Linked DNA regions of Saccharomyces cerevisiae S288C. The protein of the gene in region 1 binds, or shares a complex with, the protein of each later gene. Each region holds a gene or a part of one and is shown on either strand. Other genes may lie near its edges.

Evidence for each region.
Region 2: INA17 (region 1) and INA22 share a complex: the UniProt entries of both Saccharomyces cerevisiae proteins name them as parts of the inner membrane assembly (INA) complex.

What each region holds. Positions count from the first base shown.
Region 1 is NC_001148.4:363,020-378,878, reverse strand, and holds INA17 (Ina17p), read left to right. Parts: upstream 1-14,810; coding exon 14,811-15,359; downstream 15,360-15,859. Other genes in the region: 40S ribosomal protein eS6 RPS6A, read left to right, coding at 484-489, 884-1,588; glutathione-disulfide reductase GLR1, read right to left, coding at 1,926-3,377; SSU1 (Ssu1p), read right to left, coding at 3,710-5,086; putative GTPase NOG1, read right to left, coding at 5,958-7,901; Sec63 complex subunit SEC62, read left to right, coding at 8,216-9,040; EEB1 (medium-chain fatty acid ethyl ester synthase/esterase), read left to right, coding at 9,438-10,808; PNG1 (peptide-N4-(N-acetyl-beta-glucosaminyl)asparagine amidase), read right to left, coding at 10,861-11,952; ERI1 (Eri1p), read left to right, coding at 12,144-12,350; tyrosine--tRNA ligase MSY1, read right to left, coding at 12,449-13,927; MGR2 (Mgr2p), read left to right, coding at 14,152-14,493; and 1 more. UniProt on the Saccharomyces cerevisiae protein: Component of the INA complex (INAC) that promotes the biogenesis of mitochondrial F(1)F(0)-ATP synthase. INAC facilitates the assembly of the peripheral stalk and promotes the assembly of the catalytic F(1)-domain with the membrane-embedded F(0)-domain.
Region 2 is NC_001141.2:399,814-415,916, reverse strand, and holds INA22 (Ina22p), read left to right. Parts: upstream 1-12,425; coding exon 12,426-13,076; downstream 13,077-16,103. Other genes in the region: DAL3 (ureidoglycolate hydrolase), read left to right, coding at 300-887; malate synthase DAL7, read left to right, coding at 1,238-2,902; DCG1 (Dcg1p), read left to right, coding at 3,147-3,881; DAL2 (allantoicase), read right to left, coding at 4,079-5,110; DAL4 (allantoin permease), read right to left, coding at 5,542-7,449; DAL1 (allantoinase), read left to right, coding at 8,275-9,657; tyrosine protein phosphatase YVH1, read left to right, coding at 9,950-11,044; MND2 (Mnd2p), read right to left, coding at 11,152-12,258; DAL81 (Dal81p), read right to left, coding at 13,228-16,103. UniProt on the Saccharomyces cerevisiae protein: Component of the INA complex (INAC) that promotes the biogenesis of mitochondrial F(1)F(0)-ATP synthase. INAC facilitates the assembly of the peripheral stalk and promotes the assembly of the catalytic F(1)-domain with the membrane-embedded F(0)-domain.

The DNA.
Region 1 (15,859 bases):
GAAGACAAGAGGTTCATTCAGAGAAAACATCCGTACATTCGAGTTCTCATTGAACCCATACATTTCAACTATTTTTACATAGTTCGTTTTTCATGTGTAAAATTGTCATCGACGCGCCGGAGCATCGGAAAGTTGGAACGTGCGCGATTGCACCAATCCCACTGGGGCCGTGCATTCTGTAGGCAGGAAGCCACTGGACACTCTGCCCGTTCCCACTTGGAAGATTGGCGTAATTCCACGCTCCTCTATCGATTCTAGCGGGAAAGTTATCTCTCCTGGTAAGCGTTGGAGGAATGCCGCTACCTAGGTAAGTCTACTGGGTGGGAATTCCAGTACCGACGTCTAGGAACATCATGATGCTGCAGTTTCTTTGAAATTTCATATACAGTGTTACCAAGGATAAAGTGGTTAATGCTTATTCGTCATTGAATTTTTATATTTGCTTAAGAGAAGTGACAAAAGAGTGAAGACAGACTATACATCATGAAGGTATGATTTATGATACTATTATTGAGGGGCAACAGAGAACTTTATATGTGGAAAAATGGCATGAAAGTTTGAAAGTGAGAAAGAACTAAACAGAACCAGACGTCGTAAAGATTTTAGAAATTTTTTATGGAAAGAAGCAGGAAGACTACCATATACTAATTGATGCGTTTGTGGCGTTATTTTTAAACAAACAGAGCGGGTTTACATATACTGTTACTACAAACCGTGAAATTGAAGCAGTTCATATACTTGGAGTATAGTCAATAAAAGACAAGCTTTTTCATCTTCCACTTAATAATTTCTCTAGAGTAATAAACTTCACCCTATTCAAACATTAATTTTGCAATAGTATACTAACAAATTTTCTTAATAACCTGTTGAAAATTTAAAATAGTTGAACATTTCTTACCCAGTTAACGGGTCTCAAAAGACCTTCGAAATTGATGATGAACACCGTATTCGTGTTTTCTTCGACAAGAGAATCGGTCAAGAAGTCGATGGTGAAGCCGTTGGTGACGAATTCAAGGGTTACGTCTTCAAGATCTCTGGTGGTAACGACAAACAAGGTTTCCCAATGAAGCAAGGTGTTTTGTTGCCAACTAGAATCAAGTTGTTGTTGACCAAGAACGTTTCTTGTTACAGACCAAGACGTGATGGTGAAAGAAAGAGAAAGTCCGTCAGAGGTGCCATTGTTGGTCCAGATTTGGCTGTCTTGGCTTTGGTCATTGTCAAGAAGGGTGAGCAAGAATTGGAAGGTCTAACTGACACTACTGTTCCAAAGAGATTGGGTCCAAAGAGAGCTAACAACATCAGAAAGTTCTTCGGTTTGTCCAAGGAAGATGACGTTCGTGATTTCGTCATCAGAAGAGAAGTCACCAAGGGTGAAAAGACTTACACCAAGGCTCCAAAGATCCAAAGATTGGTTACTCCTCAAAGATTGCAAAGAAAGAGACACCAAAGAGCTTTGAAGGTCAGAAACGCTCAAGCTCAAAGAGAAGCTGCTGCCGAATACGCTCAATTGTTGGCTAAGAGATTGTCTGAAAGAAAGGCTGAGAAGGCTGAAATCAGAAAGAGAAGAGCTTCTTCTTTGAAGGCTTAAAGTTAGAAAGCAGTAAAAGATAAATTCTTTTGTTCAAAAACTCCTTTCTTATTCTGTATTTTGTGTATTTTTAAGCTTAAAATCAAATAACTTTATTTTTTATATAATTAACAAAAAGAAAAATAATCATATGTATTGTAAACGAGAGTCGGAATGTATCCTCAACTGAATATCCAAGCGAGTCCACAGTAGCTAATAGTCTGAAAAAAAAAGGAACCCTTGTCCTTGAACAGAAATGACAAAATTACTACGTATTTCAGGATGCTATATAAGATTGTTTACAAGAGTACAAAAGTCCAGTATAGCAACAGCAGATTGGACGTCTAGTTTCGTTGCTTCATCTCATAGTAACCAATTCTTCTGCGCTAGTCGGATGAATAGCAACACAATTATCGAAATCAGCCTTAGTGGCACCCATCTTTATAGCAACACCGAACCCTTGCAAGATTTCTGCAGAGGAATCACCAACAATGTGCAGACCGACAACCTTTTCATTTGGTCCCGCACAAACAATTTTATATCTTGTGGGTGATTTCTCACTCAACATAGCATAGTACATGGCGGTAAATTTGGAATTGTAGACCTTTATATTCTCCTTACCGTACTTTTCAATGGCTTCCTTCTCAGAAATACCAATGGAACCGGCTTCAGGATGTGAGAAAATTACGCTGGGGACGTTCTCGTAATCTAGTTTGTCATTACGGAATTTCTCTGGACCAAACAGTCTATTAGACAGCTTTCTGCCCGCTGCAATAGCGACAGGTGTCAATTCAACTTTTCCAACAACGTCACCTAGAGAATAAATGTTTGGAACATTGGTGTTCTGATATTCATCAGCAATTATTTGGTCATGAGAGTTCAGCTTTATACCTACATTTTCTGAACCCATACCTAGATGGGATTTACGTCCAATTGTCCAAATTAATTCGTCAACGTCATCGATGGACTTTGAGTCATTCATATGTATTTTCAGTTTGTCAGTTTCTACATTTTTCTCCACCTTAACAATTTTGGATAGTTTATGAACGTTGATGCCTTCCTTTACGTAATGGTCAGTAATAGTGTTCTGGATGCATTCATCAAATTTTCTCAAGACAGTTTCACCTCTAATTACCAAGTGCGTTTCGGATCCCAGCCCATGGAACACACCTGCTAGCTCAATACCAATATAACCAGCGCCAACAACAACAACTTTCTTAGGTTGTTCTTCCAATCTAAAGAACCCATCAGAATCAGTACCTAATTCGAAACCTGGAATGTTTTCGGGGAAAATAGCCTTTCCACCGGTCGCAACTAAAATATGGTTAGCGGAGTAAACTTCAGTAGTATTATCCCTTTTCTGAACTTCAACATTACCGTCCTTATTGAATCTAGCCCATCCAAATACAACATCCACTTTTTCTTTTTCTAAATTCTTCTGGTATATACCGTTCAACCTATGGACATAAGCATCCCTTTTCTGCTTAAATTCTGGCCAATTAAAAGTCAAATGCTCTTTATCTAATGGAAGATTCTGATATAATCCATATTCATTTGCATGGGATACTCTAGTAGCGAGGTCAGAAGCATACCACATGACTTTCTTCGGAACACAACCCACGTTAACACAGGTACCACCAAGAGCCTTAGCTTCAACTAGTAATGTCTTCGCACCATAAGATGCAGCTCTTCTTGCGGAAGCAACACCCCCTGAGCCACCCCCGATGACGAGGTAATCGTAATGCTTGGTGTTCGTGGACATAGTTCTTATCTGTAGACTTCTAAATGTTTGTTTGGTTGCAGAAAGCATAAAGTTCTGTAAACTAATATGTAAATAGATATATATACATATGAAGGAAAGCAGCAAAATATACTGAGAGTGAGAAGCGCATGAGAAAAACCAGAAGTGTTTCTTATACTTTTTTAGACTGATTTTAATAGTAGATTCCAAATGGAAAGCTCCGAAATCCTCGAAAAATTGACAAGGGTCGTGCTTACTAAGTGACGTCAAAAAATATCAGGCATAGTGAAAACCAACGTGAAGAAGCAAAAGCAGCAAAGCGCCGTGCAAATGAATTAAACTATCTATTGAGACTCCTACATGAAATGCTTGCCAATTATGTACGTATAAAACCAACAATTTTATGCTAAACGCGTAAAATCTAGAGCCGAGTTTGATTCTTCCACGCTTTCAATGCTGTTATACGGAGAAACTGTCGTCTTTTCCGTACCTGACTCTGAAAATAATGAAGATTTACGGGCAGCATGCAGCATCTTTTTAGAATACTCATGCAATGTGCATAAAAGGCATAGAATTGACCAACAAACGCAAACACCGCCGTATATGGTTCCTAGGACTCTAAATGCATATAAGGGAACGTACTGGTTATACTGCACATATAACTCTTCGTTTCCTAAAGACATAGTACCCATCGGGAAAGTCATCCCCCAAAAACCTTTGTGGAAGGTATAAACTCTCTTCACTTTTCCTGTCTCGTTTTCAATCTCTTTTTTATTGTAGTACGACAGGATTGAAACGACAGAAATCACGGTGAAAAAATAGCCCATAGCGAGCAATGCCATAGCAGAAACCATGCCTAGAATTTTGAAACACCATGGAACTGCAATAGTCAATATCTCTTGTTCTCTTGTAATGTTATCTGTTGGGTAATATTTGCCCGCATATTTTTTTATATTATCTGTAAGCAATAAGACTCCAAAACTTCCTTGGCCCATCGGGCCCAAAAGCAGGAATAAGGTGAAAACCTGTGTCATTGGTGGTATCTTATTAATATAAAGACTCCAGAAGTATATCGCAATCAGTATGAAGACGAAGATAATGGCATGCAGCCACGTTAAGGCACATATGACCAACGTTATCAGTTGAATGTTTCTATTAAACGCATGGAAGAATATTTCTGACATTGTGAATGTTCCACAACTTGAAGCGACGACAACCAGCGGAATGATATCCAGTAGCAATACACTTTTCATGTTTTCGGATGCCATTTTGATATTATATGAAGGATAATTCCCAATCCCTTCCAAAGGGTAATAGTCATGCCAGATGAGAAACGAGATACCCCACGCTATTACTAGACAGACTGCGAGATCATACCACCACAAGACGTAAACAAATATCATCAAATTTCTGGCATTAGTGGGGCTCTTCGTCGTGTTCGCTTTCGAGAGTGCTCCTAAGAAATTTATAATTGTAACTAACCCCATGGGATAAGTACCCCAAAATAAATTGTGCTTCATATTTCTGAAAAAGTCATTAAAATATTCTCTGAAGCTTTTCTCCTTAATATAGACAATCAAATGTAATATTTGTAGTGCCTGCACAGCAATGAAAATAAGGCAAGCGATAGCAAACATGATGTAGGAGCATATTCTTAGCCACCTTGCAGGATATGGGAAGCTATATAGAATATTCGATGAAATGCCGACACCCATGACCATCATAAACATGAAGGGGTCAAACTGCCTCGTAAGAGCAAGTACCCAATTGGCAACCATTTTTTTCTTGTACTTGTCTTCTCTTACACTATAAAACGTTTTTAAATTGCGCGTATTGTCTGAGCTCAATCAACAATCGTTACTAGGGGAAAGCTGTAATTTGTGTGTTGTCTAAATGCGGAGAATTTGTTCAGCCAATATCACAAGTTTCAACTTAACAAGACAAGGATTAGAAATAAGAACTACACGCTGGTTGGCTATTCTTTTAGAACCTCTAGTTAAATAGGTAAAATAAGCAAAGTGAGCAAAAATAAGCAAAAGAAGTCAAAGACAACCCCAATGTGCCAAAGACGGCGATGAGTCTTCTGTTTTTTAAGATTCATGCACTCTCAGATTTTCGGCTACAGACGCGGCACAAGGATGAAAAAAAAAAAATGATAGTTTGCAGGAATTTATCAGTCAATTGATGGGAGACATCGCTATTGTTGCCTTATACGATACACTGCAAAAACGATAACAATTTCTTATTTGTCAACCTCGTGGGAGACTCGATAGGTTGCATGATGATGTGTCACAAAAAAGTAGAAGTGTCATCTTGACGCTATCCCACCCCTTCTTTTTCCACATGCTTAATTATTTGTATACATCCAGTGACATACAAAAAAATAGTAGAACATGGAGGGGTCGGCTTGTTGGATAATTTAAATCGGTTTATTATTATTATACAGATTAAATAAAATTTTTTTAAAAAAAAGATACAGAAAAAGTGAGAAAGAAAGAAAAAGAAACCACTAATAGTGAGAGAGATAATCAAATGTAAATGGTAATCCTACCAGCCCAAAAAGATTAGAATGTCGTGTACGTACATCCACATTTTATATTCATATTTTTTTTAAAGTACATGCAAAAGAAAGAATAAGAAGTAGAGAAATCAACGGAAATCTGTCTTACCGACACCACGCTTACCACTGAATAAATGCTTTGATAAGGAAACAGCATTGTGTCTATCAGATTCACCTTGCTTGGCATGTCTATTTCTTTCTCTTCTTTCCATCTTGGCCATCCTGTCGGCCTTGGATCTCATGGAGCCATCAGCAACACCATCCAACAGTCTATCGGTTTGTCTCAACTTGACACCGTTTTCAGTGGAAGCTGTCAAAGCATCTTGGTCGCCAAAAACAACATCAGAACCTCTTTCAACATAACGGTTCTTACGAGCAGCACGGTTCTGTTTATCTTGTAAGGCTGACATGTCATGGCCCAAAGTGGACATGTGTTCTTCCATTTTACCAAAGGACTTAGTTAGTTTAGAACGTGGCATGATAGCTTTGTTCTTCAAGGACTTCCTATTTCTTGCTTCAGCAATCATCGTCTTTTGTCTATTTCTAATCCATGCAGCTTTCTCCTTGATATCATCTACTTCGGATGCTTCGAAACCGTCGTAGATTTCTTCCTCATCGTCAGAATTGTAGAACCCTTCGTTCTCCAATTTTTCTTCTTCTTCTTCAAGAGCCTGCAGTTTAGCAGCGATTTCAGGGTCCAAGAAATCATAAACATTCTTACCATCCAAGATTTCTGGCATGATGTCATTCTTCCACTCATCATCTTCTAATAGGTACTTGTCCTTCAAGTTAACATTGAAGACACCAGCACCACCATTTTCAGCTTCGATGTCTCTGGCCAACTTTCTCCTGTTTGGATCTTCAGGGTCGTATTTCTTCAAATTCTTGACAGATTCTGGGATAAATGGTGTTCTCTTGACATCATCTCTTGCTTGAGGTTGAGCAACATGAATCTTGTTCAGAACATTGTTGATTCTAGACTGAGATTTCAACTTATTCTCAATTCTAGAAGCCAATAGTTTTTCACATGCTTTGTTTCTAACTTCCATAACGTTTTCTTCCAGTTGGCATGAAGAAGTCATGATTTCAACACCTGGAACCTCCTTAACAGATTCCAGTAATTGTGCACGCTCTTCGTCTAAATCCTCCGGTCTGATAATGTCGGTTTTGTTGATAACAACCATGACAGACTTGTTGGCGAATAGAGGCTTGATGGAGTGGAATAGTTTAACTTGAGCTTCGATGGTGAAACCACATTGTTCGGAAAGATCCATGAAGTACAAAACACAAGAACGTAAATGGGCAATGGCATAAATCGATTGCATTTCAATGTTGTTCATTTCTTCAGTGGGTCTATCTAGGATACCAGGGGTGTCAATAGCTTGAAATCTCAAGTATTTGTAGTCAAAATGACCAACGTATAAACTCTTGGTTGTGAAAGCATATGGTTGAACATCGACGTCTGATTTGGTAATGCATCTCAAAAACGAGGACTTACCGACATTTGGATAACCACAGATCAGCAAGGTTCTGGTATTTGGGTCGATCGATGGTAATCTACCAATGTGCTGTCTGACTTGTTCCAAATAGGCCAATGGGTCCCTCAATTTCTTGACTATAGTTGCCATTCTACCTAAAGCGGCCCTTTTCAATTGTTTACATTGAAATAAAGATTGACCGAATTTTAGCAATCTGACATAATCTCTGGCGACTTGTTCCACAAGGGACTTCGCACGAGATATAGCTGCCAAAGATATCTTGTAATGATTCTTTTCGTATAGGGTGTCCATCAAATCTCTATGGAAAGGATGCACGTCATTGATGTTAGGAAAACCCTTTAAAATGTCCTCAAATTTTTCCACGAAACCTTCACCTGTGTATTTAACTTTACGCATATAGAACGCTCTGATTCTTGTAATCTTGAAACCAGGTCTGATCACAGTTGGTGTCTTTCTCTGGGTTCTGTTCAAGACAATATCCAGCAAATCATTTGCTGGAGCGACAGTAGGGATATCCTTCCATGAAAGTTGCATCTTCGGTATAGGAGGGAGATGTGTTTGCTTTTGGAGGGTACACTTACTTTTTTATAAACGCTGCAACTCCTAAATCTGAAGTGTATTCTTTATATTGTATTAGATGAGGTAGTACATAGGTGAAAATTTTTCTTTGCGATGAGCTGCGGAAAAAACTTTTCGTTCAGTTGAAAAAAAAAAAGAAAGTGAAGATCGTGTGCGACGGAATAGACGTGTCGTTTTCCCAATACTGGCATACAAATCAAGAGGGAGAAGAGTGGGCTTTTATAATTGCAGTTGAATGCAGTATGGTAGCCGAGCAAACACAGGAGAACATGTCAGCCGTAGGTCCAGGTAGCAATGCAGGTGCTAGTGTCAATGGCGGATCTGCTACAGCCATTGCTACTCTTTTACGCAACCATAAGGAGTTGAAGCAAAGGCAGGGTTTATTCCAGGCCAAGCAGACAGACTTCTTCCGTTACAAGAGATTTGTTAGGGCACTGCATTCTGAGGAGTATGCCAACAAATCTGCAAGACAGCCAGAGATATATCCAACTATACCTTCTAACAAGATCGAAGACCAGCTTAAGTCACGTGAAATCTTTATTCAACTTATAAAGGCACAAATGGTGATCCCAGTGAAAAAATTGCATAGTCAAGAATGCAAAGAGCATGGATTGAAGCCAAGCAAGGACTTTCCGCACTTGATTGTTTCGAATAAAGCACAATTGGAAGCCGATGAATACTTTGTTTGGAACTATAACCCTAGAACCTACATGGATTACTTGATCGTCATTGGTGTCGTGTCCATCATATTGGCGCTCGTATGCTACCCATTGTGGCCGCGCTCCATGAGACGCGGCTCCTATTATGTGTCTCTGGGTGCCTTCGGCATCTTAGCAGGCTTCTTTGCTGTCGCTATCCTGAGATTGATATTATATGTTTTGTCATTAATTGTCTACAAAGATGTTGGTGGGTTCTGGATCTTTCCCAACCTGTTCGAAGATTGCGGTGTACTAGAGAGTTTTAAGCCACTTTACGGTTTTGGTGAGAAGGATACTTATAGTTACAAAAAGAAACTGAAAAGAATGAAGAAGAAACAAGCCAAGAGAGAAAGCAATAAGAAGAAAGCCATCAATGAAAAAGCCGAACAAAACTGAACTTCCATTATCCTGTATAGCTCTACTGTATAAACCTTCTATATTGTAACCTCATGAACTCGCACATGTACAAACCTTCAAGAGAACCGGCACCAAAGCGCTACCATCTGGTTGCTTCATCGCTTATAGTGAGTAGTTTTAGATTTGAAGGTTATCGCTCCTGGCAAAAATCTGAATCCACACACCGCATAATTAGCGGTTATTATTACTCAATTTCCGGCCGGCTTTAATATACTTTCACCGAAAGGTCTCTATATAGAAGCTATTTGCTGACACTTGCTTACAGGAATCGATTATATAAGAAGGGTTCTGCATCTGGTTGCCTACTTAGTTTTCGGTATTTTTGAAGATTAGCAAAAAGATCAAGATATCAAGTATTTTCATATTTGTCATTTTAATGTTTCGCTCGGGTTACTATCCAACTGTCACTCCTAGCCATTGGGGCTATAACGGCACCGTCAAACATGTACTGGGAGAGAAAGGAACCAAGTCTTTGGCTTTCAGAGATTCTAAGCGCCAAATTCCTCTTCATGAATTCGTAACCAAACACGTGCCTACACTCAAAGATGGTGCAAATTTTAGGTTAAACAGCTTGCTTTTCACAGGTTACTTACAGACCCTTTATTTGTCAGCCGGTGATTTTTCCAAAAAATTTCAGGTATTTTATGGAAGAGAGATTATAAAATTTTCTGATGGAGGGGTCTGCACTGCAGATTGGGTTATGCCTGAATGGGAGCAAACATATTCATTAAATGCTGAAAAGGCTAGTTTTAACGAGAAACAATTTTCGAACGATGAAAAGGCCACCCATCCAAAGGGTTGGCCTCGTCTTCACCCGAGAACTAGATATCTATCCTCTGAGGAACTTGAAAAATGTCATTCTAAGGGTTATTCTTACCCTTTAGTGGTAGTACTTCATGGTCTTGCAGGGGGAAGCCATGAGCCTCTCATCAGGGCATTATCTGAAGATCTATCAAAAGTCGGTGACGGTAAATTCCAAGTGGTAGTCCTTAATGCTAGAGGTTGCTCAAGATCTAAAGTCACCACCCGTAGAATCTTTACCGCATTACACACAGGTGATGTGAGAGAATTTTTGAACCACCAAAAAGCTCTATTTCCGCAAAGAAAAATATATGCAGTCGGAACATCATTTGGAGCAGCCATGCTAACGAACTACTTAGGTGAAGAAGGAGATAACTGTCCATTAAATGCTGCAGTCGCTCTCTCAAACCCATGGGATTTCGTACACACTTGGGACAAGTTGGCTCATGATTGGTGGTCCAACCATATTTTTTCTAGAACTTTAACACAATTTCTAACAAGGACTGTCAAGGTTAATATGAATGAGTTGCAGGTACCAGAGAATTTTGAGGTTTCGCACAAACCGACAGTTGAGAAACCAGTCTTTTATACGTATACCAGAGAAAATTTGGAAAAGGCTGAAAAATTTACAGACATATTAGAATTCGATAATCTTTTCACTGCCCCATCGATGGGCCTGCCGGACGGGTTAACATATTATAGAAAGGCCAGTTCGATAAATAGATTGCCTAATATCAAAATCCCAACTTTAATAATCAACGCAACGGATGATCCAGTTACAGGTGAAAACGTAATTCCGTACAAACAAGCTAGAGAAAATCCTTGTGTGTTGTTATGCGAGACTGACTTGGGTGGACATTTGGCTTATCTCGACAATGAAAGTAATTCCTGGTTAACAAAGCAAGCTGCCGAGTTCTTGGGCAGCTTTGATGAGTTAGTTTTATAAATATGTTCTTAGATAAAATTCCTTACACATAATAATCTGTTCTTTTATTTCTCTATTTACCATCCTCCCCACGCTGTGCTTTCCAATCCGCCGATCCACTTTCTCTACCACGATTAGATGATTTCGAAGCGGCACTGACGCTTTCGGATTTCGTTTCTTGTGTCTTTCCTCTAATCAGCTCTATCTGTTCCTGCTCATCGCGACATGCAAGTTGGTATATCTCGTCATCATTTAACGAATACCTCAACCTCTTCGTTATAAATTGACAAAGGAATTTTAAATCTTCTTCCTTGATTTGATCTCTGGGCAGCTCGTTTTGGAGGATATAGCGTTTACTAACGTCAACAACGCCATCTTTACCGAACGCAATACAGTAACTCATTTTCTTGTTCCAGTTAATTGAATAGATATATGGTTGGTCGAATGATTGCTCACAGGAGTCGACATGAACCCACCTATTCAAAAAATTTGAAAAATATTCACACCAAACATGATCTTCTCTATTCCAGACGTAGCGAACATCTAACCCAAACGACTTCAAAATCAAAGTAAATAAATTGCACCATTCACCGCATCTTCCCTTTCTAGTTTCCAGCAACTTAATTGGATCGTTATAACGAGGAAATCTAGTGATATTTCCGCATCGGTTGCATTTATAGATCTCAACAGTTCCGCAATTGAATTTAGATTCCTCTCCATTGGGCCCTTGACTGCCCAGAGGTGTCATATTTTCTGAAGTGTTCTGGCCACAATGATTACAATCTGGTTTATTGCACCATTTGAAAAAATCTTGTTTGAAGTAGCGAAGCAGCTCCTTTACTAGATAATCCGTGTATATATTTTCCCCCTCTGCATGCCCATCTTTGGCAAATTCCTTATCAACATTTTTATATATTAGATCCAGATCCAATGTCTCCAGGACTATAGAATGCCATGAAGGATTGTCATAGACTGTACAGAGATGTTGACTCTGACCTAGGACTCCTTGTGCGAATTGATTTGTATGGACTAAATTCTGAAACCTTATATTCTCTACAGGTGCAGCTTTCTTGAATTTAGACAGTATGAAATCCTTATACTTAATTAACAACATTTTGGCTATTGAATCAAAATCTATGTTATTTTTTTCGTATACCTCTCCCATTGCTACTCCACCTGTTACCTTCTTCAGGTTGTTTTACGTCTTCTATATCTGTTCCCAACGCATCCTTTTTTCTTCGCTACAATACAAGGAAGATTACACTACGCAAAGTTTCGAAAACATCAAGAAGCATAGAACAGTTGAAACTAGGCAACAGGACTGTTTCAATTACATGATTGAGAATTTATAAGCGCATGAGACCACGTGACCAAGGCTTTTTGGTTTTAGGGTTTACTTACTCGGTACTCCTAATTAGTCTTGCTACATTTTACTGGTTACGCAACAATGACTCTTTCCTGCACTACTGGTGTGTATTACTGCTATGCCCTGCGACTCTCTGGCTGTGGGCCCTCATAGCCTGGTGTGACAGTGAAATGTTCGCAAGTAGTAAAGATGAATAATCGTTTATAATCTTATTTACAAGTCAGTGCATAAAATGATATAATATCACCTCACGCATGCCTATTTTATACATGTACTTTATATACCTCCCTTTTTTTTAACGCATTTCTATTATAAAACACTTCTGCTTTCCTATCCTCAAGATCAGTACTCGATCATCTATCAGGAAAGGAGCCAAGTTAGAAATATTTTCGTTTACTTTAGATTTTGAATGATGCAGATACACGCTTCCCTGGGAAAGTTTTCTTCTGGCTTCTGATACTGAACAATTTACTAGTTTACAAATTAACTTTATTAAGTCAATCTCTCTATCAGCATACTGCAAAATTCTGGCTTTTTTACATAGATCAACTAACTTCGCAGCAGATAAAGTTCCGTCATAACGTCCAAAAATAATATTAGAAAGCGCTTCTGAATCCGATCCGGAGCCAACTCCATATAACATATCTGTGACTTCTTTAGCCAATAAAGTTTGGCCATAACGTAGACTGGGTGATTTGATATGCGTTTCCACAATTTTTTTGATTTCACTTGAGTTTAAAAACGTAAAGATCTTCAAGAACTTGGGTACATCAGCATCCAAAGTATTATAAAAGAACTGGTAAACATCATACGCCGTATTGATTGAGGGGTCAATAAAAACAGCATTGCCTGCACTTTTCCCAAATTTCTCTCCTGTAGCCGTCGTCAACAAGGGCACAGTGATACCAAATGGCAAACCCTTATTCTTTATAGGCTGTATCCTATTGATGAGATCGATACCGGCTGTTATATTTCCCCATTGGTCGTTACCACCTACTTGTATAGTCACATTCTCTTCCTTATACAAATGGTAAAAATCGTACGCTTGTAAAACTTGGTAAGTAAATTCGTTAAATCCCAGACCATTTTTGGTTTGAAGCCTCGAAGAAATTGAATCCCTCGCCAACATAGATTGTACCCGAATGTGCCTACCAAAATCAGCTAAGAAATCCAACATTTTGATGTCTTTCCACCAGTTGAAATTATTCCTTGGTGTATATTTTCCGGAAGGTACATCTTCAGTGAGAGCACATCGGTTTCTGTAATATTCTAGGCCATTTTTGAAAAACCTTTGTAATTGCTGCGAGATGGATGCCACATTGCTTTGCCTAATATCGTTCTCCATAACGTCTCTTTCTGTTTTCCTACCACTTGGGTCCCCAACTTTCCCTGTAGCTCCACCTATCACAGTGACAATGTCGTGACCTTTTACGTAAAAGTGTAATAAAACCATTAGTGGAACTAGATTTCCCAAATGAAGTGACTGAGCTGTGGGATCCACCCCGCAGTATAATTTGATCTTATCGTTACCGTTCAACTTCGTCCGAAGGAAACTCTCTGGCTGTGAGACCTGGGACACTAGACCCCTTTGTTTGAGTTCGTCTAAAATATTATCGCTTCGAGAATCCGATGTGCCCTGTACTTCTAAAGCACTAGGCTGTGAATAAAATCGAGATTTAGGCAATGTTATTGCACTTAGTCCGGAATAAGTCACCAGAGGCACAAGTCTCCTACTACTATTGACCAAATTACTACAACTTCGTAATTCGAGCATGATTCACAATGTCTACCTGTAGATTGCTGTGTTCAATCGGAAACTGGAAATTCTTTCTTAACATTATGAGCCAACCACTTTTTATTTTCTTTTCAAAACTCCCGAACAAGACCAACATTACCAAACAGACTCCACTACTTTTCCATAAGAAGGAAGCACAGAACACCACACAAGATCATATAGCACAAATAGCGCAACAGCTTCAAGTCCAATATTAAGATATAATGCCTCCTCTTCCACAAAATTATGCGCAACAGCAGCCTTCGAATTGGGACAAATTCAAAATGGGGTTGATGATGGGTACTACCGTCGGTGTCTGCACAGGCATCCTATTTGGTGGATTTGCCATCGCAACTCAAGGCCCAGGTCCTGATGGTGTAGTTAGAACACTAGGGAAATACATTGCTGGTTCAGCGGGTACCTTTGGGCTATTTATGTCCATCGGGTCTATAATCAGAAGTGATAGTGAAAGTAGTCCAATGTCCCATCCTAACCTGAACCTACAGCAACAGGCAAGACTGGAAATGTGGAAGCTTCGTGCCAAATACGGTATACGTAAGGACTGAGGGGGAAATTTTGCATATATTTACGCTTCCCCATCGTTTTCTTAAACATTGTTACTTATCTGCTTATTTTTATTTAAGATATCTATCTACCTGTTTATAACTCTCTCAATACCATGTATTTAAGTTCATCACGACGAGGCTTATTTACTTAATATATTTGTATACGTGGGAAATGTCTAATATGTATACCGGTTTGCATCTTATTTTGGGTGGGGTCACTAACGGCAAGACTCATAAAATAAAGTATTCGCTAAGCACTCTGTTATATTTGTAAACTTTGAGAAAGGAAATGGGAACCAAAGCATATAATAGACAATATGTTAAAAAGACGCTCTAATGCTCTCATTACTTTGAGTAGAACTAAATTGTTTCCCATAACAACCGTTGCCTATTACCACAGGCGCCTCCTCAACCAACAACGAAGAGCTGTTTCAACGTCACCGAAGAAAGAAATCAAGAGCCTAGAAGACTTGGCTAATTTGGATTCTTTGGATGGTGTTGATACTGAACTGATACGCGATTTGATTAATGAGCATACTACAAAATTAAATATCAAAAAGGAGTTAGATATGCTCAAAAAATTCTCGCAAGAGGAAGAATCAGGACATGAGATCCCTGTAAAAAGATTTATTAGGCCTCTTTGGATGTTCATTCTAATGGGATCTTCCGTTTATTTACTGCTTCACTTCTCTTGGTGGAAACTAGAGCATGAGGAGAGAGAAAGTCAGCTAAAGAAAGAGGTAGAAATCCTGGAACACCAATTAAATGAGTTAATTGTACAGGATAAAACCCACAATACTAGTAGGGGAAAGGGCAGTAATGAATCAACACATATGAAGCCTTGGTATAGGAGATGGTTTTGGTGAGAATTAGTTATCTTGTTGGCTTTTCGTGTTTCTAGAATGTACCATTGCCTATGTAAATATTTTCAAATTGCTTGTTTTGAAGATTTCTACCCTCTTTAGCAATTCACACGTGAATACGTACAATATCTATTAAGATTATGAAAACTGCACATATGCATTATGTAAATTTATTATTTTTAGTCAGCACACATTCACCAGGTTTTGACGGAATACTATATATACTGAAGGTTCCATCATCAGAGGCAATATAGACTTGGTTGGGAAATTCGTCTGGAAACCCTAAGCAACTCCTGTTCGATTCATTAACTGTTATATAAGCAAAGTTACGGCTCAGGTTCTGGTTTGGTATTGAAGATTTTATTTTTTTCGAGAAGTAATTCGCAATTCTTGGTTTCGAGAGAGGTATTTCCTTTGGAGTTCCCATACTGGGATTTGAATTTGATGCTAGTATATATTCCTCTTCATTCCAGTGGCCATTGCTAGAATTATCTCCAGGGAGG
Region 2 (16,103 bases), on another chromosome or scaffold:
TAAAAAGAAATACGACATTTCTAGGGTAACATCAGAATGCCCTTGCTTTTATTGTTAGGGTTATTTTCAAAAGTAGAATTTTGGAAATAAGTCCTAGCCTTTTTGTAACACTAACCCTGAGACAAAGTGCCAGATAAGATAAGATGGATTGGCAAATAAATGGGGAAAGATAAGCGAGGTAAGACTGATAAGAAGCATATGCGGTCTATTCATGTGCATTCGCATATATAAGTCAGTAACTGTCATCCAATCGCTCTTGATGCTTATCTTGTAGGGCAAAAAATCTTTGAAGCAAAGATATGGTGACCGTGGTGGCGGAGACATTGACGAAAGAGTCCTTCGAGGAGTATGGGACGATAATTTCGCCAGATGAAGAGATTTCAAGGATGCAAAACCTTGAAAAAGGTGCAAACCAGGGAACAGCGATCAAATTGCTTCAAGTAAGCCAGGTAGAGAATAAATCTACCAGTAAAGTTCCCAATTGGAACCTATTCCGTTGCTTTCCACAGCCGCACCTGAATAGAGTATTCACTCAAGGCTCCAATCAGGCGATTTCTCATTCTATCAAAGTCCTCGAAAAGCATCCGTGTAGTACGCAGACGTTTGTGCCTATGGGGAGAACGTCAGCGGAAGTAGCATACTTGGTAGTAGTCGCTAAAGAAATTGGAAATAAGCCAGACTTGTCTACGTTGAGGGCTTTTACATGTTTGGGTAATCAGGCCGTTACCTATGGCTTAGGTACCTGGCATGCGCCCATGATAGTACTTGGCAAGGAAGAACATTTGGATTTTTCAGTCTTAATCTACGAAAGTCTGGACCCTGACAGGCCCGAGAAGGACTGTGTGGAAGAACACTACAGCGATGGCGACGTTTGTATTATCATCTAATTCTGCGACTGTGGGCGAAGTAAATATGTAAATGTTCATGTATTAGTAATTTCATAGGTTTACGATTATCGACATAAAATCTCCGCTGAAAGTTGCGGTGCGATAGAATACCGCGGATTTTGGAAAATTGCGTTTGCTTTTCTTATCACATAAATTGAATTTCATAAGTTTTGGCTTATCTTGGATAAGGTACATCGTGAAAGTATCACAAAGATTGGATAGTTTCGTCAATTGGTGAAGCAATAAGTATAAAATGGGGACATTTACGCATGTAGTCTTAATTCTTCACTTTCTGTGCAGTTGATATCACTTAGAGTATGTGTCATAGGCACGGTAAAGAGCACTGAACAATGGTGAAGATAAGCTTGGACAACACTGCTCTATACGCAGACATCGACACGACTCCTCAATTTGAACCTTCCAAAACTACTGTAGCTGATATTTTAACAAAAGATGCCTTAGAGTTCATTGTTTTGCTGCATAGAACTTTCAATTCAACACGGAAACAGCTTTTAGCCAACAGAAGCAATTTACAATCAAAGTTAGACTCTGGTGAATACCGATTTGATTTCTTGCCGGAAACCGAACAAATCAGGAACGATCCTACATGGCAAGGTGCTATCCCAGCCCCTGGTTTGATCAACAGATCCAGCGAGATTACTGGGCCACCATTGAGAAATATGTTAGTCAACGCTTTGAATGCTGAAGTAACGACATATATGACTGATTTCGAGGACTCTTCATCTCCAACTTGGGAGAACATGATTTACGGACAAGTTAATCTTTATGATGCCATTAGAAATCAAATCGATTTCAAGACACCAAGAAAGGAGTACAGGTTGAAGGATGACATTTCAAGACTGCCCACTTTAATTGTCAGACCTCGTGGCTGGCACATGGTGGAGAAGCACCTTTACATAGATGATGAACCGATTAGTGCTTCCATCTTCGATTTTGGTTTATATTTTTACCATAACGCTAAAGAGTTAGTTAAAATTGGTAAAGGACCTTATTTTTACTTACCAAAGATGGAGCACCATATGGAGGTAAAACTATGGAATGACATATTCTGTGTTGCACAAGATTTTATTGGAATGCCCCGCGGTACCATTAGGGCCACTGTTCTGATTGAAACTTTGCCAGCGGCCTTCCAAATGGAGGAGATTATCTATCAAATAAGAGAACATTCAAGCGGTTTGAACTGTGGTCGTTGGGACTACATATTTTCGACCATTAAAAAACTGAGAAACTTGCCTGAACACGTTTTGCCAAATAGGGATCTAGTGACTATGACTTCACCTTTTATGGATGCTTATGTGAAAAGATTGATCAATACATGTCACCGTAGAGGGGTCCATGCGATGGGTGGTATGGCTGCCCAAATCCCCATAAAAGATGATCCAAAGGCTAATGAAGCTGCAATGAACAAAGTTCGTAATGACAAAATTAGAGAAATGAAGAATGGGCATGATGGGTCATGGGTAGCACACCCAGCATTGGCACCGATTTGTAATGAAGTTTTCAGTAACATGGGTACAGCAAATCAAATATATTTTGTCCCGGATGTACATGTTACATCATCTGATTTATTGAATACGAAGATTCAAGATGCTCAAGTCACTACTGAGGGAATCAGAGTAAACTTGGATATTGGCCTACAATATATGGAGGCTTGGTTAAGGGGATCTGGTTGTGTCCCAATTAATCATTTGATGGAAGATGCCGCTACTGCGGAAGTATCACGTTGTCAATTGTACCAGTGGGTTAAACATGGTGTTGTCTTAAGTGATACCGGTGACAAAGTAACTCCAGAATTGACCGCTAAGATATTAAATGAAGAGACTGCAAAATTGGCTTCAGCAAGTCCGCTGGGTGAAAAGAACAAGTTTGCCTTGGCAGCCAAGTATTTTTTGCCTGAAGTCACTGGTAAAATCTTTAGCGACTTCTTGACCACTTTATTGTATGATGAAATTATTAAGCCAAGTGCCAAACCAGTTGACTTAAGTAAATTATAGAATGTATACGTACATAACCTGACGAATATTCGAAGAATTTTAGGCGCTGTTTTAACGCATAATCCAATCAAATTTGAGCTGATAAGGCCTGATAAGGTATGACAAATTGAACTCATATTTTTTCTCCATGCCAGATCATATTTAAGCCTTTGAAGCGAGAATATGTAAGGAAACTGAATTACTAATTCTTACCTCAGGAAAATCAAAAGAACAAAGAAAAACTAGCTAAGCAAATTATCGAACGATGGAAACAAGAATACTTGTTGTGAATCCTAATAGTTCGAAGTCAATGACGGTGTCCTTGCGGGAAACCATTGAAAAGACTTTTTCAATGGAATCATGTAAAATCAGTTATTTCACAGGGCCAGACACGTCGCCACCACAAATTGATGGGCAGGAAACAAGTATTAAAAGTATGGAGGCCTGTCTTCCCCTCTTAATTGATGACCAGGAGTCGGTATATTACTTTCAGAAATTCAACGGGATATTAATTGCCTGTTTTTCAGATCATCCTTTGGTAGCAAAGATAAAGGATAGAGCTGCTAAAGAAAAAGCAGATGTTTCTATTGTTGGGTTATTAGATAGTAGTATTAATTATTGCAATTTGGTTGGAAAGAAGTTCTCTATTATTACTTCAAATAAAGAATGGATTCCAATATTGAATAACTCTGTGGAATCGAAATTCTTGACAGGGAATACAGTTAACAAAAATTTATGGAAAGGTACGGTATCTACTGATTTACAGGTCCTCGACCTACATAGTCCAGAAAATTTCCAGCAGATAGCAGAAATTATATATCGCGAAAATATTAAAAAGCTTGATTCAGACATTGTAATATTAGGTTGTGCAGGATTCTCGGGTTTGCAAAATAAACTGGCGAAAACATTCCAAAGGGATGGCACGCTGTTTCTGGACACGATTGAGATCGGTTTACAGATTCTAATCACTATGATAAGATTTGTCAACTCACAAAAATAAATAGAAATATGATTGTTTTTTATAGAGTGTAAATTTTAATGTTTTGTCGTGAAGAAGAAGAAGTAAATAAAGTAGCGTGGGGATAGCGAAATGAAAACATTCAATTATCAAAACAAAAACTTTTAACTACATTTATACCTTTACTTTTAAAGTGCCAAGAGTGCATTGGTTTAAAATATACAGTAGTTAAGTATTTATCAGTACCCCCAAACTCTTATTCTTTTCACTCCTCCATCTGGAATAATCGTTAATTTGACATGGGAGACTCTTATACTCTTACGTATTTCATACACATGTTCTTTGTCAGGCCCCGTCTTTGACTTACCAACTAGCTCTACCCATGTTCCTTCACCAGTGTTCTCACTTGATTCTGACTCCTTCAAGCAACCTTCCACGGTAATGAACTGAGGGAAGTTCCCCCTGAAGTGTGCCGTATCAACAATAATCTTCTCAATGAAAGAAGACTCCCTGCCCAGTTGAATTACCGCCCAATCAGTATGACCTGGTTGTCTCGATCTTTTGGTTTCCCAGCCGTCCGACATATCATGACCTCGACCTGGCAGTAGCAAATTATCAACTGAACCGAAGTGTTGGTCAGAATACTTTAAAGCGACAGCACCATTGCAAACATAAGCCAAGTCAATTATATGATCCTTCGTTTTGAGTTCTGGAGGAACAACTCTTCCGTATAATCTAAATCTGGCGATTCCTCCATCGGGGTACATCTTCAGCTTGATGTGAGTAAACCTTTCTTTAGTAAGGCCGTTGCCTCTAACGAAAAGATGCCTTTGCGAAGGACCACACTCAAATTTCTCAACAATCTCAACCCAACGCGAGTCATCTTCCACTATATTACCTTCTTCGCCCTCGTCATAGAGCGCCTCTATTGATACAAATGGTGCATGATTACCATTGAAAAACGCAGTGTCAATTTCACCACCAATAATATGGGCAGCAGCGACTCCCATCTTGATGATAACCCAATCGTATTCCATCTCATTATGTCTTCGTGTTTCCCAGCCGTCGTACCATGCGCCTGAATGAACAAATCTGGTAGGATCCCTTATAGGAGCAGTTGGCTGAATTAAATTTTCAGCAGAAGCAAACCATTCATCTGAAAAAGAAACCACTTGACCACCTAACTTAGATCCTATAACATCTACTGCTTTGTTTTTTGAAATGATTATTGACTTAAATTCTGCCTCATCTGCCAAACTAAAAAACTTCATTTTTCTAAAGAAGAGACCGATTAGATACAATTAATTGTTTGATCGGCTTCATAATTTCCCCATATCATAGCAAAATGCACTTCCATTCCTTTATAGCATTTGATCTCAGAAAATGTGTCTATAATTTAGACTTTTCTTCCAGCTGAATTTCATTGTGGTTCCTGTGTTTTTATCTTATCGCTAATTCGAGTCAAAGATAAGATGTCGGAATTATCCGGAGTTCTGATAGGCTCAAACAAGCGCAAGTTTGGTAGGTTGATGACGGTTTAGCTAATCATCAGTACATTATTCAGACGGGAATGCATGTATGAAGCTGATAAATTTGATTAAGAAAGGTACATAAAAATACACAGAACGAATATTAAGGTGTTTTGAAGAAATTATCAATTCTCCTGATCACTACTGGTAAGAGAATAAATTGGGATTTTTATTTAGTAAACTATCTTTTCCTCGGTGCCATCATAGATACTGACTGTGTCATCGCAGAGGTCATCCCTACGTAACTCATTCTTCCAATCTTGCTCGAAGTCCTCAACATAAGCCCATCTTTGGAACCATCCTTTCTCTGTCAGAAAATTGGTTACGGGAGTACCAGGGACAGGAAAAAAGTAACATAATATGAGGTATATCACCGCACTAATAAAGAAACCTACCGGATAACCTAAATAGTATAACCTCATTGCACCCTCTGAAACCGTAATTTTTGGAGCTCCAACATCACCTATAAAACCTGGTAAATTTGGAGCGATACCGCAAATATACGCAACAAAGGCCCTCCAATTGGCACCAAATTTGTTTCCAAACATGTAAAAGGAACCCTTCTGTGCCAGGAATAAATGTGTTAATTTCACATATCCTCTTCTTACTACGAAATAATCCGCGCAAATGACACCAGCAATACTGGAAAGGAAAATTGCATAAGCACCCAAAGCGCTGGTGAACTTACTTGAACTGGCCATTAAGTTCCATGGACAGATACATAGAGCCATTGCCACACAGAATAAAGAACCTCTTCTAATATTAATATATCTTGGAAACAAAGCCGTCATATCAGCACCACATGCCAGAGAGTTGGCAGAAATGTTTGTACCCAGTTGAGCTAAGGCAAATACAAAAGAAATCAAGAACACACCAGCCCTAGTACCTCTGGTGTAAGTGGTCTCCAAAAATTGACCAAGTACATCCAGTGGTGACCAATAGTTAACCCCATATAAGTGATAACCGGCCGCAGTAACAATGATACCGATCAAACATGTTATGGCGAAGAACAATGGGATGGCAACCAATTGTGGCCACAAAGACGCTTGAGGATTTTTGGCAAATCTACCGAAGTCAGGGGCGTTGATAATCAAAGCGGCAAAGTTAGCAACACAGGCCATTAGGGATCTAACGAATATCCATGAAAATTCGGAACCATGAGGTGAATAATCATTCAGCGTCCCCAACTCAATTTTACCGTGCGATTTCTTCAAAGCCCAGATTAAAAATCCAAAGGCTGCGAAGGGGATCAAAGCTGCTTTTACTGTGAATAAATGCCTGATTTTATGAGGAGCCACTAGGACAAATGGTATACTGACCACCCAAAATATAAAGAAACACATGAATTCAAAAGTAGTGCTATTTGGAGAACCAAAATGGTTTGGGATTCTATCTTCCAGATTCTTGCCAAAAATAGATTTTAGCATCAGTGCCACGGGCGTTGCACCTAACCAGGCTTGCACGGCATACCATACTATAGCCATCACGACACGATTTATAATCGGCCACATAGAAAAGAATATACCAAATGAGGCCCTAACAGTAATAGGGAAAGATAAGTGATATGCGGAACCAAATCTCGAGTTCAATACTACGAAGATACCTGCAAAAGTGTAGCCGATCCAAACTGTAAGCCAACATTGCCACCAATTCAGACCTAGTTGTAGACCTGTACCAGCTATTTGCCATGTGTTAATATTGAAACAGTCTGCCAGCCAGAAATATAAGTAATTGAACCAGGACCAACACCTTCTTTCTTCTTCAACCGGTTTCAAGTCTCTGTTATACAAGAACGACTCTTTCAACGAAACATTCAAAGTTGTCTTGTCTAACACAATGAAATCGTAGTATATTTTACTCCAGATGGACTTTGTTTCGGGCAAGGGCACGACTTCGCTCTCCTCTATTGAGGAGTTGTCCACATACACATTAGTGTTGATATTCTTGTTCTTGTTGAACTTCCCATTTTCCACATCTATAATATCATCTTCATTGTTTGTATATGACACAATAGATGTGGAGGGTTGGACACCTTTCCTCGAAGGATTACTGAAAATAGCACTTAGAGCGTCGTTAGCCATTCTCGTCTTTGTTGATGTTTTATATCACAAGATGTAGATGAATATAAAAGGTCAAAAAGGGAAACTAAAGTAACATATATATTCAAACTACTCATCAAGCTAATTATTTATACTTTTTTTTTCTTCCCCATGTTTTCCTAGCCTTCTATGCTCAACACTAGCAGATCAAGTTTCTCGATTACAAACTTGTTTCTCTGATACTCTACCTCTCTATGCTAATCATTGGACACAATTTTTAAAGGAACCTTATCGACGTGACAGCAAAGCGGTCAATCCATCCTATTATTCCTTCTCATCTCCCTGAAAAGGAAAACATCCTGGATCTTCAATTACACATACACATTCCTTATCGCAACTAGATTAGAGGCGCTATTTTGTATGCGACAGCGAGTAAGGATGGCCGGAAAAAAAGCGGGCGCATTTTCCCTGGCAGAAATTTTTCATTGATAAGAAAGTAATACCGATAAGAGATACCCTCGAGCCACATTAGACCCGAGAATTGCAGGAAAGAAAGGAACTGCATGTTTCGATTCTATTGTCCCTTACTGCGGATCATCGAATAGGCGCAAATGTGTTGATGGTGGACTGATGGAACTTTATCAGGAGAAGTGGTTCAAAATTGCGGTGCTTAATTATCTATATAGAGGAGGCATATCTCATCGAAGGGGACAATGATGAGGTAACGCAAAAGTGATGAGTTTCTACTGGTATCTTGTAATTGAAGGTACCCCTTTTTCTTTTAGCTATCTTTAATTAGGTTAGAAAAGTGTATATTTCGCAAAAACGTATAGGCAAAAAAAAAGTGAAATACTGCGAAGAACAAAGATGCCTATCAATGCCATCACTTCCGACCATGTCATTATCAATGGTGCAAATAAACCTGCGACTATTGTGTATTCGACCGAATCAGGCACGATTCTGGATGTTTTAGAAGGCTCCGTGGTTATGGAGAAAACTGAGATAACCAAATATGAAATACATACGCTGGAGAACGTATCTCCATGTACAATTCTGCCTGGACTTGTGGACTCTCATGTTCACTTGAACGAGCCCGGTAGGACTAGCTGGGAAGGATTCGAAACTGGAACTCAAGCTGCTATTAGTGGCGGGGTCACAACGGTGGTTGATATGCCGCTAAATGCTATTCCTCCCACAACAAATGTGGAGAATTTCCGAATTAAATTGGAAGCTGCTGAGGGCCAAATGTGGTGCGATGTTGGGTTTTGGGGTGGACTGGTACCACACAACTTGCCAGACTTAATTCCGCTTGTCAAAGCTGGCGTTCGCGGGTTCAAAGGATTCTTGCTTGATTCTGGTGTGGAAGAATTCCCTCCAATTGGCAAAGAATATATAGAAGAAGCCTTGAAGGTCTTAGCCGAGGAGGATACCATGATGATGTTTCATGCTGAGTTGCCCAAGGCACATGAGGACCAACAGCAACCCGAGCAAAGCCATCGTGAATATTCTTCGTTTTTGTCCTCGAGGCCGGATTCTTTCGAAATAGACGCCATCAATTTGATTCTCGAATGCTTGAGAGCCAGAAATGGACCAGTTCCTCCTGTACATATAGTTCATCTGGCATCAATGAAAGCAATTCCCTTGATCAGAAAGGCACGTGCGTCAGGGCTACCAGTCACAACAGAGACTTGTTTCCACTATTTGTGTATTGCTGCAGAGCAGATCCCAGACGGAGCCACCTACTTTAAATGTTGTCCACCCATCCGCTCTGAGTCTAATCGCCAAGGCCTATGGGACGCTTTGCGTGAAGGTGTTATAGGCTCAGTAGTGAGCGACCATTCGCCATGCACCCCTGAGTTGAAGAACTTGCAAAAAGGTGACTTTTTCGATTCTTGGGGAGGAATCGCTTCCGTCGGACTAGGTTTGCCATTGATGTTTACCCAAGGCTGCTCTTTGGTCGATATCGTTACATGGTGCTGTAAAAATACATCCCATCAGGTAGGACTATCTCACCAAAAAGGCACTATAGCTCCCGGGTACGATGCTGATTTGGTGGTATTTGATACTGCAAGTAAACATAAAATAAGTAATTCAAGTGTCTACTTCAAAAACAAATTGACTGCCTACAACGGGATGACGGTCAAGGGCACAGTTTTGAAAACCATATTAAGAGGCCAGGTGGTATATACGAATGCCAACGGAGTCTCGAAAACACCATTGGGTCAAACTTTGCTTGATTCTAGACGTTAAACTAAAGTTGCAAATTTTTATTAAAGAAATTCTATAGAAATAAAAGAAACAAATTTATAAAAAGTTATTTACACACATACATATATTAACCACTCTTAGTTTGAGATGACACAACTTTTAATGATCTACAATATATCCATCTGGGTCTCCACGGCTGCAATTTTGAAATTTTCTTAGCGCTAAAAAAAAGAAATCTAACTGAAAAAAAAAATTATACCTCAGCTCATCGAATGCATCTAATACAGGTATAACGCAGAGAAAGCAGTAAAAGCAGCAAGAAATTACAGGGAAGATGGCTGGAAATGCAAACTCAGTAGACGAGGAAGTTACCAGGATATTAGGAGGCATATATCTTGGCGGAATCCGTCCAATTATTGACCACAGACCATTGGGTGCAGAATTTAACATTACTCATATTCTTTCTGTTATCAAATTCCAGGTCATTCCAGAGTATCTAATAAGGAAAGGTTACACGCTAAAAAACATACCCATCGATGATGATGATGTGACTGATGTGCTGCAATACTTCGATGAAACGAACCGATTCATTGATCAATGCTTGTTCCCCAATGAAGTTGAGTATTCGCCCAGATTAGTAGATTTCAAGAAGAAACCACAACGTGGTGCTGTTTTTGCTCATTGTCAAGCAGGACTCTCGAGATCTGTAACCTTCATAGTAGCCTACCTAATGTATCGTTATGGATTGTCACTATCAATGGCTATGCACGCTGTCAAGAGGAAGAAACCGAGTGTTGAGCCAAACGAGAATTTCATGGAACAATTACATCTCTTTGAGAAAATGGGTGGAGATTTTGTCGATTTCGACAACCCAGCCTATAAGCAGTGGAAGCTGAAGCAATCTATCAAGTTAGATCCATCGGGCAGCGAATTGGTCTCCAATTCTGGAATGTTTAAAGATTCGGAGTCGTCGCAAGACTTGGATAAATTAACTGAAGCTGAGAAGAGCAAGGTCACCGCAGTGAGATGTAAGAAGTGCAGAACCAAATTGGCGTTATCTACATCTTTCATCGCGCATGACCCACCAAGTAAGGAATCATCAGAGGGACACTTCATCAAGAGGGCCGCCAACTCCCATCGTATTATTGATATTCAAGAGTCACAAGCAAATTGCTCTCATTTTTTCATCGAACCTTTAAAATGGATGCAACCTGAACTACAAGGCAAGCAAGAGTTAGAAGGGAAGTTTTCATGTCCAGGCTGTTCAAGTAAAGTTGGCGGTTACAACTGGAAAGGATCTAGGTGCAGTTGTGGTAAGTGGGTCATCCCCGCTATCCACCTGCAAACTAGTAAAGTGGATCAATTTCCCTTACAATCCACTGCTTTGCCCAACATGGTTAATTTTGAATCCGAGAAAGTAAATAGATAACTTAGATATAATCAGCAAATATAACTACCACTAAGCACTTTTGGTGCACTTGTGTATGTATACATCTTAATAGATAGATGAATTTTGGTGCTGAGGAGAGCATTTTTCTAATCTTGACCTCGTTGCTGCCTGGCTCGTCTCTCCATTAATTCATCTAAACTAGTTATCCTCTCCCTAGTCCAATTCCTCCAATTACTCGCTAGATCAGGTGTAATCCCACCATAAGAAGTCGGCTCTTGGCTGTATTCGCTATTATAATCATGCTCTCTTCCCACGTCATCTTCAAAATCCGGATTCATGTCCAGTTCTACCTTTGAATCTTCTCCGTCGTTATCACTGTCAATATCATATGGGTTTCTATCTAAATGATGAGCCTCTTCCACAAACTGTTGTAGGGAGCGTGACAGTGAAGTGGGTCTCATTAATAAGTCATCCGGCACAATTCTCTCTCTCTGAACTTCTATACCTTCCACACCTTCCCCCGGCACTTCTCCCTCCTCATTATCATCCTCATCTACAACATGATCGAACTCTGCATCATAATCGTATGATATTTCATCCTCCTCTGATACTTCCTCATTTTGCGAATTATTAGCACTGTTATTCGCAAGTATGGCCATACTGTCATTTGGCATGCTATGCAATCCTGTAACACCCTCACCAGTATCATATTCTTCATTTTCCTGTAGAATATGAGGCAGTATCACGCGTCCTATAGAGCCATTGTTTCTTGGATCCTCTTCTCTAGAATCGTGCTGCCTGAAGTCTTCCTCATTGTTCCCTTCCGCGTTTTGAGCTCGTGCTCGAGACCTTAGCATTTCTAATTCGTACATAGTTTTATTAATGCCTATTGGTTTGAATCTATTCCATCCTAGCTTGCGTATTTTGGGTAATCTACTTTTGTATTGTTCTGACAGCATTAGAAATTCGTCTAATTTGCCGTCTAGTAACTGACTGGCTGACGTAGGATAGTAAGGAAATTCATTGAACACATTATACGCTGACAATGATGGAATGTATTTCACAACTCTGGATTTCTTCCTTCTTATAAATCTGTCAAGCGAATCATCTTCATAATCATCTATGCCATTTACATGCTGGTTCTTCTTACTTCGGAGATCTCTCATGTTATATCTCTCATGCTTGGCTCCTGCCGAATTTTGATCCTTTCTTATATCATTGAATAATGATATATCCCTCAACGCTCTTGCCATTGCTTTGTCTTCTCTTCGCCGCTGTTTATGGTTGTCGGTATTCTGATGTGGCGTAGCACAGTTGAACTATTTTACGCATCCTCTAATTTACATCTTATGTGATATAATGAGCAGGGAAAAAGTAACAACAAGGAAAGACAAGTCATACGTAAAAGGTGTAAGGAAAAATGTTTATGGCAAGACAAGTGTTAAGAAATGGTCTATTTTTAAGGAGCCTTGCTCCCATAAAGATAACCGCTAGAACTGTTGCATCAGCAAATGCGGGCATTAAGAGAAAGTCAAGATTTGATAAAACAATGATCAAACCTTTACTTTTGGTAATGATATTTGGGTCGATATTAAACGCAGTAATAGCCGAGAAAAGGAACATTATTGATATGGAAAGGAAATATAAGCTAAAACTTGATAAATTGAAAGAGCTGATACGGAGGGTTCATGATAATAATGGAAAGGTAGACTTCGACGCAGATGATGAATTGAAACTTGTGAATTTGCGTTTAGGAATCGTCGGCAAGAACGCAACTGGGATGAAGGAAGATGAGACTGATATTGTGGTTCCTAAGGAAGAGTCATTGGAAGAGATCTGGCAAAGTATAATAGACGAGGCAAAAAAAGAAGTAATCGAAAAAACTCCAGATGCTGGCGTTAAGAACAAAGAAGGGATTGTCACTGATTTGAATGTTCTAAAAGATTTAGAAAAGTCGAAAAAAGAAGATGAAAAGGTTTACCTAAGTGGTGATGTCCATATGATGATGAACCAACCAGGTGATTTGAATGAAATCGCCAAAGAACATGATAAAATCCCAAAATTTCTATAGTAGGCTCTATGCATCCGGATATACCACATGTAAATATAACGCAAGCGAATAAATAATTTTACATTCACCACTCAGTAACCTTGGTCCTGCAGAAGATATTTCTATATAGTTATTACCGTATTCCATTTTTACTTATGTGCTATTATTTATATTACAGAGGGGTTTCCCTTGTGTTAATTGTTACATTTTTATCATCATTCATTTTTATAGTTTGGTTACCAGTTGCGCTTGTTTCCTGGTTCGAGTTTGGATTATCGTCCTTGAGTTCCGTTGATGATTCCTCGTTGGCGGTTCTTTCTCTTCCTGCTGTTTTTTCATCTGCAGCGTCACCTGACTCTTGTCTGGTTTCGTTAATTGAGGTCAAGGGAGAAGCATTCATTTGTGTATTAGAGTTGACATTTGTGCTGGAATTGACTCTTGGTGAAGATGTATTAGAGGGGGGGTGTCTGCTCATATGAGAGGGCGTAACATTTGGTGAAGATTGTGAAGTTTTTTTAGAAGACTTATTTGGCGCAAATGGTAAAGGCGTGTTGTTGCTATTATTATTAGCACTATTTATGGCTGGACTTCCCTGCGATTCTAGTTGTGTTTGTCTGGAAGTGGGGTTTACTGGCGTTGTTGTACTGGTCGTACCGTTGGGAAAGGAGTTTAGTTGTTGCAAGATTTCCTGGGGCAAATTCTTCCACTGGTTTAAAGGAGATCCTTGCTCGGTCATGGCAGGTGATCCCACGTTAAATTGTATTGGGATTTGCGATTGTACACCTGACCTTTGTGGGTTAACGGAATTGATGTTAGAGTTAGGGCTCACGACCACCGGTTCATCGGTCAGAAGACCAGGAATTTGTGCAAATAGTAAATGCATATTATTCAAAGCATTCGATAGTTTATCAAAGTATTTGGAACCTATCTTCAATACCCAGGTATAATTTCTAACATAATCTCTGAAAATCATAGCCTCTTCCTTCGTAGCTGAAGTCACATACAGCAGGGCAGCAAATGTTCCAATTAGCATCAGATTTCCAGTTGAGCAGTTATACCAAAAAGCATTAATATGTTCGTTTTTTAGATCTCTTATAAATTCAATTGCTGCTACAAGCCTGGTTCTTGCAGCAGTCCTGCATACTTGAACCAGTTCCTTTGGAGTTTGAGGATTCAAGGCACAGATAATTTTCCTATGTAACGTAATTTCCGTGGCAAAATAAGCTAGAGTTAAAGTTGAATTTGAGTTCAATTTTTGTGGCGTGGCATAACTCATTGACAAATTCTTGGGTAGGGAATGGTACCATTCTCTTAATTTCAGTTGCAACGGCTTTGCCAGTTTCAATACCTGTTCAATGCTTTTGTTTATTGTCATGGATCCCTGAGTGTAAAATGTGTCCATGATTTCCCCAAGAATTATACTCAAGGAAACCATTTGTTGAAACATAAGCGTTCCATTCTTGAAATCTTCTAAAGTGGGGTTTATGTTAAATATGGGCAAGTTACCAAATGCTATCTGATGGTTTTTCACATCATTTGATGACGAGGGTGAAGACCCCGACTGGTCATTTTGCAAGGAATTTAAAATAGTGGGCGAATTCAGAGGAAAATCATCAAAGTTTAATAGCTTGATCATCCAGTTCCTACCTAAAATTAAATGGGATTGTCTACCTTCGTTTAATGCACACCATTTATCCATCAACCAAACTGCCCACGCTAATCTCTTTCTCAAATCTTTTTCCCATTTGGGAAGTTTCCAATCATTACATTCAACCCCGAGCCCCAATTCCTCTGCAAGGGCCACTACGCTGGAGCAGAGGACCCAGTTGTTATGACATTCACTACGGCATTGCAAAATCAAAAGGCCTGTTTGTATAATGCTCAATTTTGGCCTTCCAACTCGAGCATAAAATGTTTCCAATGCGATATTGTTTAGTTGAGCAGTTACATCGGGTTTAGGGAACCCCAAAAGTGCAGGATGAAAATCCCAATATTGTAATGCCAGTGAGTAAATGGATGCCAGTAAAGGCGCAGTGAGTTCTCTATAAGATCTAGAATACTTTTCCAAAAATACACGTTCGTGTAAAATTGGAAGAAAAGGATGAATCAATTTGAAGAAAATCTCTACTAAAAGGTGACCGTGCGGATGTACCAGATTTTCGACCAAATCAACTTCGTATTCTTGCTTACTATGAAGGGTCGTGTCAAAATCGTCCTGAAGAATAAACTGTGCGGTAGGAGACACCTTTCTTAATGATAAAGTTTTTGATAGCTGTATTTGGTCAACATTATCTAGTCTTACATGCTTGGTCAAGTTCAAATCGAAAACTGAGGCCGGACCGACGAAAAAAGAGGATCTGGGGTATTGTATACGCTGTTGCTGCTGTTGCTGTTGCTGCTGCTGTTGATGTCTATAGAGCATGCTACTGGGTAAGCGATTCGAATAGTCTTCAAAATTTTTCATTCGTTTGGAGTTTGAAGAGGTTGGCATGTTATTGTTTGCCCCAGAGGACGTTCTTTTCAAATAATTTGGAGCAATACTGAAGGTGCATTTAGTTCTTGACGTTTCACATTCGAGACAGTTGCCTAGGTCGGGAAAATAGTTGCACTTTGTTTTCTTTAATCTACATTGATTGCAAGATCCCATCAGATTACCGGGACTAGATATGTCATTATTGTTGTTATTATTGTTGCTATTACTGCCATTATGATCTGCGCTGTTACTAACATTGTCATCAAAGGCTATTGCATTATCACTCTTGGAGAGTAAACTTTGATAATGGTGCAAAAGGGTATCCAGGCTCTGTTGTTGCTGCTGTTGTTGCTGCTGTTGTTGCTGTTGTTGCTGCTGCTGATGCTGTTGTTGTTGTGATCCTCCTTTCTCCCTCAGTATATTAGGATGGTCGTTTGCCAAATGTTGCAGAATGGTAGTATAGTTATCATTAAAATTCAGTATATCATGGTTACTGTTATTATTGCTGTTGTTGCTATTGACATTATTATTCGTGGACGAATTTTTAGTGGTTGCCTTCACGCTCTTCGTAGGCG